Macaca mulatta: one gene and its partner. The protein of the gene in region 1 purifies or fractionates together with the protein of each later gene. This does not show direct contact. Links are inferred from orthologs where the notes say so. Each region holds a gene or a part of one and is shown on either strand. Other genes may lie near its edges.

What was found. Proteins that work in one complex are often made in the same cells at the same time.
Region 2: the proteins of RHOA (region 1) and CTSA purify together in Homo sapiens (co-immunoprecipitation; 4 studies listed by BioGRID and IntAct, counting the BioPlex papers as one, with this or other methods). This does not show direct contact. The link is inferred for Macaca mulatta from reciprocal best matches to the Homo sapiens genes RHOA and CTSA.

What each region holds. Positions count from the first base shown.
Region 1 is NC_133407.1:112,801,239-112,803,607, forward strand, and holds the end of RHOA (transforming protein RhoA), read right to left. Parts: intron 2,018-2,369; exon of another isoform or gene 1,808-2,017; coding exon 1,634-1,807; 3' UTR 562-1,633; downstream 1-561. UniProt on the Homo sapiens protein: Small GTPase which cycles between an active GTP-bound and an inactive GDP-bound state.
Region 2 is NC_133415.1:98,684,283-98,688,292, reverse strand, and holds the start of CTSA (lysosomal protective protein precursor), read right to left. Parts: upstream 2,807-4,010; 5' UTR 2,764-2,806; exon of another isoform or gene 2,694-2,763; intron 2,575-2,693; coding exon 2,393-2,574; intron 2,239-2,392; coding exon 2,127-2,238; intron 1,882-2,126; coding exon 1,831-1,881; intron 1,748-1,830; coding exon 1,661-1,747; intron 1,423-1,660; coding exon 1,267-1,422; intron 930-1,266; coding exon 838-929; intron 158-837; coding exon 73-157; intron 1-72. Other genes in the region: NEURL2 (neuralized-like protein 2), read left to right, coding at 3,155-3,896. UniProt on the Homo sapiens protein: Protective protein appears to be essential for both the activity of beta-galactosidase and neuraminidase, it associates with these enzymes and exerts a protective function necessary for their stability and activity.

The DNA of each region.
Region 1 (2,369 bases):
CTGGGGCCCTCGAGGGCTCCGTTTTCTTTCTCAAAGGCTCCTCAATTAGGATGTGGGGTTCGGCATAGAAGGCTGGTGGGCGGCGGCAGCAGCTGCCGGTGCGCAAACAGCCCTCCTCTCCTGTGCCATGTTACCGGCAGTGCAGGGGACAGCCAGAGGGATATGGGCTTCCGGTCTCCCTCCTCCCTGTCTCCAAAGCGGCACCGCCCTTGCGCGGGTTTTCTAACAGGGCAGAGTCCTGGAAGCTCTGCCCCAGCTTCCTGAAGTGGAGCCCAAGAGCTCGTCAGGGCCAAGGAAACGCGGCCTGAGTCCTCCCTCTCTGGCCTCCTCAGTAGGCTGCATTCACCCTCCCCCCAAATCTGAACTAGAATGCGGTACAGGGTAATCATTTCCATGTTGTTGGGAGGGACCAGATTAGCTGCTGGGTAGGTGGGAGGTGGGGCACAACCTAGTCTTTTGCACCCTGAACAAACCTCTCCAGGGTGAGCTAGGCCAGGAAGTCCTTGCATCCTCCTGCCCCCAGCCCTGGAGAGAGCAACACAAACAACAGGATACACGAAGTTTAGAAAACTGCCTTTATTCTATTAGTAGTTGGAAAAATTAACTGGTACAGAAAAAAAGTTTAGTCAGCTGGAGAGAAGAGAGACTGAGTGCCACCTATGAGAACTGGTGGCTCCTCTGGGAGGGAACCTGGATACAGTGAGGAGAAGAGCACTGTGAATTAGAGCCAGATGCTGAAGTCCAGGTGAGACAGGTTATGCCACCTTCCAAAGTGTCTAATTGCCTCAGGCGTGAAACCAATTCCTATTTACTTAGCCCAGCTCCAGATAGGGGTACTGAGATACATGGGGCCGAAAAGGGGTAATATGGCCATCTTTTATCAGAAAAAGTGACAAAACGGGAATTTAAAAAATGAATTTTCCATCTGACTTTATTTCCAAATACACTTTCTTTTTTAAAAAACCAATACACTTTCTTTGGGGATGACAAATATCAGTATTAGGAAATCCAATTATACAAAAAATACTACATCTAGTCTGGGGTAGATATATTTATTTTTGGTAACATACATTAAGTGGCACTAATTACACAGTAACTATAAGGTAACTAACATGAAACCACAGAACTGTAACTCTGCCACAGCTGCATGAACTTGGGCTTTTCTGGTTGAGCCCATTTTCAAAAAACTGCCCACCCCAGAGCTATGCCAACAAAATCTGTTAATGAGTAAAGCCCTGAAGTGGTGACTCACCAGAGTACCTTGCAGCTGACAGATAATAGGCAGGACATGTTAGTTATAAAGTAGTTACAGCCTAATTCACAAAAGTTACCAACTGTTTCTCTTTCTAGAAAGAAGCAAGAAGTTAAGAAATTCCTTGAATTAGCGCCTGGTGTGTCAGGTGGGAGTGCAGAGGAGGGCTGTTAGAGCAGTGTCAAAAGGACCCTGGTGGGCCAGACGGGTTGGACATCATTAATAATCATAGTTGGCTTCTAAATACTGGTAGCAAGATGACTTCTGATTTGTAATCTTAGGTAAATTATAGATAAATGAAAAAGGCCAGTAATCATACACTAAGATTAATAAACAGCACTTCAAAATTAACCGCATAAGGGCTGTGCTTGCAGCAAGGTTTCACAAGACAAGGCACCCAGATTTTTTCTTCCCACGTCTAGCTTGCAGAGCAGCTCTCGTAGCCATTTCAAAAACCTCTCTCACTCCATCTTTGGTCTTTGCTGAACACTCCATGTACCCAAAAGCACCAATCCTGTTTGCCATATCTCTGCCTTCTTCAGGTTTCACCGGCTCCTAGCAAAAAGAAAAAACAGTCCTTTTAGCTAATAGTGTGGCATACATATAGTAAGTAAAGAGTATTCAAATTCAGCTTAAAGACTTTTTTTTTCTTGTTTTGCAACAGTTTTACTCTTGTCAGTCGCCCAGGCTGGGCTGCAATGGTATGATCTCAGCTCACTGCAACCTCCATCTCCTGGGTTCAAGCGATTCTCCTGCCTCAGCCTCCTGAGTGGCTGGGACTACAGGTGCCCACCACCACACCCAGCTAATTTTTTAGTAGAGATGGGGGTTTCACCAGTTTGGCCAGACTGGTCTCGAACTCCTGACCACGTGATCTGCCCACCCCGGCCTCCCAAAGAGCTGGAATTACAGGCATGAGCCACTGTGCCCAGTCTTAAAAAAAGACTTTTTTTTTTTTTTTGAGACAAAGTCTGGCTCTGTCGCCCAGGCTGGAGTACAGTGGCGCAATCTCGGCTCACTGCAACCTCTGCCTCCCGGGTTCACGCCATTCTCCTGCCTCAGCCTCCTGAGTAGCTGGGACTACAGGCGCCCGCCACCACACCCAGCTAATTTTTTG
Region 2 (4,010 bases), on another chromosome or scaffold:
AAGGAGGGAATGTGGTCCCATTCTTGGGATTAGGGATGGGAGGGCTGATGCAGAGTGACGGCAGAACCTCACATTGGTCACGCATTCCGGGTCTTTGTTGTCATAGAAGTTACACTTGTTTTGAGAGCAGCAGTGGGTCTGGAGAGAAGACCAAAGCCTGTAGGAGATGAGAGTGAAAAGTGCATCAGCCTCTGGTGGGAAGAGGAGGGCAGAGGAGGCGAGCATACCCCCACCTCCCACCAACCTCCCTGACCCTAGGAGACTAGGAAAGGTATCACAGGGTATGGTCTGCACGTCACCTAAGCTAGCTCCCAAAGAGGTGCCCCAGGGTCATACAGACAGGCCTCCTTAGTTCCTTTAAAATCTGATCTCTGGCTGGGCGCCGTGGCTCACGCCTGTAATCCCAGCACTTTGGGAAGCCAAGGCGGGCAGATCATTTGAGGCCAGGAGTTCGCGTCTAGCCTGGCCAACAGCAAAATGCCATCTGTACTAAAAATACAAAAAAATTAAGCAGGTGTGGTGGTACGTGCCTGTAGTCCCAGCTGCTTGGGATGCTGAGGCACAAGAATTGCTTGAACCTGGGAGGTGGAGGTTACAGTGAGCTAAGATCGCGCCACTGCACTCTAGCCTGGATGACAAAGTGAGACTCTGTCTCAAAAAAAAAAAAAAGAAAAAAAAGAAAAATCTGATCTCTATTCTTTGGCCTTTCAGCACTGTGTTCTTTCTGCAACCCACCTGCTGCTCATAAACCTGGGCTGGGCCTGTCATATCATGTGCCTGGAGGACAGACTCGAGATCATGTGACCCTAGAGATTGCCCAATTGCCCTATCCCATACCTGTTCCCCAGAAGGCCATGGTAGTAGGCAAAGTAGACCAGGGAGTTGTCATTCTGCTCATAGGAGGAGAGTCCATTGCCCACAGCCAGCCCCTGTGAAACACCCAGGGTGCTCAGCTCATGTGGAGGGCGAAGAGGAGGAGCCTCCCTCACCCTAACACCCAGACCTTCAGCAATCCGGAAGCTGAAACCCAGGGTGGTTTATGGGGGCGGTTGGGTGTGGAAAGTCACTCAATGCAAAGCACAGAGCTGGCAGCCTGACAGATGAGTTTCCTGTTGTGGGAGGCACACTAGACAGACCTAGGGCAGCTGGTGGTGGGGAGGGTATGCAGGGAGCTGGGTTGGATGGGGCTGTTGACCAGTCTGACCTTGCTAACTGCAAGGCCACAGCCTCAAGGTGCCTCCCTTCCCTCCTGCAGCTGCCCTGCACCTGAAGGTTCATGCTGGGGTCCTGCATGACCAGCACGGCCAGGGTGGGGATGTAGATGCCAGCATAGCTCTCCCCGGTCAGGAAAAGTTTGTTGTTCTTATACTCCGGAAAGAGGTGGAAGAAATCTTGAAGGGCCTCAAAATTGCTCTGGGCGACCTGGGGATGGGGGAGCAAGACAGAGGGAATCAGGAAGCTTTGGTATTTGAACTGGAAAGAACTTCAGAGATAATGACATCAACCCACCCTGTCTGTGTAAGAGGAAGTGACTGGCCACCATACCACAAGCATATGACAGAGCGAAAAGTGGACTCCAAGGCCATGCTCTCTCTCCCAGCATCATGCCATGGATGGAGGACTGGGGAGCCTGGGGCAGATGGGCAGGCACCAGACTCACCTCAGTGTCATTAGTTGCATAAAACTTGTCATCAGAGTAGGAGAAGCCCACCCCAGCTGGGGACTCCAGGTATAACACATTAGCAATCTAGAAGGGAGGGAAAAATTAGTCAACTGCCACTCCATCCAAGTGCCCAGACACCCCCACAGGACCCACAGCTCCAGCTATACCAGATTCCAAGAATAGGGGTTGTACTCCAGGGTGACACCATCTGGCTGGACCTGAGGAGGAAAGAGATGGCTGAGTAAGTCCCAAGGGCCAGCTGGGTGGAAGGAAAGGGCCACCGTGAGAGGCACTTTACATGTGGGCAAAACCCCTGAGAGGTACAAGCAGCAAAGCCAATGGCATAGAGGAAAATCCCAAGACTTAGAAGGAAGGAAACTTTCTGGTAAATCACAAAGTCCGTTTCTCCCTTTCCCCAGCCTTTTGCTTTAGGAACTGTGCTTTACCCCTGCTGTCCACTCACCAGGAAGGGGCCATGCTCTGTGAGGAGCCCATCTAGGGAGCTGCAGCCGGGACCCCCATTGAGCCAAAGCACCACAGGGCTGTTCTCGGGATCCTTCTGGGACTCCACAAACCTGGGAAGGGGTGTCAGGGCAGTGTTGGTGCAGTTGCAGGGGTCCTTTCCGGCCCTCCCGGCTCCCAGGCGTCCTCAGGGGTCTGCAGAACTACCCCCCACCCCTCATCCGTCATCTCTCCTCCCAGTCCCGCCCGGGAGGCAGGGCGGCAGACCAGTAGTGGAGGTGCTTGGAGCCGGAGCCTTTGAGGTAGCCGGAGTACTGGCGGAAGGACGGCTGCTTGGCCAGCCCGGGGAGGCGCTGGATCTCGTCCTGGTCCGGGGCTGCCTCGCCTCGGGGCGCCCAGGACACTAGCAGCAGCAGCAGGAACAGCAGCGGCGGCGCGGCTCGGATCATCTACGGGAGGCAGAAGAGGGGCTGTTGCCTCGCTCCTCAGCGCTTCCGTGAAGCAGCACCCGGGGAGGAGCTGGCGGCGCCTCCGCGAGGGAAGCCCCGGCCCCAGCGCCAGCTCCCACCCTCAAGCTTCCTCTACCGCGCACCGATCCCGGGCTCGGGGATCCCCTCCAGCCTCCGGTGCCAGCTCACCTCTGCTCCCCCGTGTCCTTGCTCTCCAGGAGGCGCCCGGGGACTGGAAGTCATGTGTACTCCGAGTCACGTGAACTCCGGCGCCACGTGACAGTCTTCCTCCCGCCCCTTCTTTGGTCCCTACCGGCCTGGGGGGCGGTGGCGGTCAATGCCAGGTCAAGGTCCGCGGGCCTCGCGGATCGTAGCCCGGGAGCACGCGATCAGATGATCCGGGTGTGGATGGCCAAGTTCTAGGAGGGATGGCTGAGCAAGCGGCGCTAGGACCCCCGGGCAGAGGCTCGGGGAAGGGAGGCAGGGGGGAAATGCCTTACAAGGTCCCCTTGCGGTCACCATCTGAGCCCGCCGCCCAAAATAGCCCCCGGCGCCCGCCAGCCTGCCTTATGGCGGAGAGATGGCTGCTGCCTCCGAGCCCGTGGATTCGGGTGCACTCTGGGGACCTGCGCGCCCGGAGCCCCCTCCCACCCGCTTCCATTGGGTGCACGGTGACAACATCCGCGTGGACCCCTCTGGGACGCGGGCCACACGCGTGGAGAGCTTCGCCCACGGCGTGTGCTTCAGCCGTGAGCCCCTGGCCCCGGGCCAAGTCTTCCTGGTCGAGATCGAAGAGAAAGAGCTGGGCTGGTGCGGACATCTGCGTCTCGGTCTGACGGCGCTGGACCCCGCCAGTCTGGCCCCCGTTCCCGAGTTTTCTCTGCCCGACCTAGTCAACCTGGGCCACACCTGGGTCTTCGCCATCACGCGCCACCACAACCGCGTGCCCCGGGAGGGCCGCCCGGAGGCCGAGGCAGCGGCCCCCAGCCGACCTCCAACCCTCCTGGTGGAACCATATCTGCGCATTGAGCAGTTTCGCATTCCCCGGGACCGCCTGGTGGGCCGCAGTCGGCCAGGGCTCTACAGCCATCTCTTGGACCAGCTCTATGAGCTGAACGTGCTGCCTCCGACGGCGCGCCGTAGCCGCCTGGGCGTCCTCTTCTGCCCGCGCCCCGATGGCACGGCCGACATGCACATCATCATCAACGGCGAGGACATGGGCCCCAGCGCCCGGGGGCTGCCAGCTGCGCAGCCCCTCTACGCGGTGGTGGACGTGTTTGCTTCCACCAAGAGCGTGCGCCTTGTCCAGCTCGAGTATGGCTGTAGGTATCCCTGGGCAGCGACCCCTCCTGGCGCAATGTGGGGACAGGAATCTGCTAGGGCTCGTAACCAGTGTGCTAGGCCTCCGTCTGTCCAGCACTAGTTTAAGAGTGGGA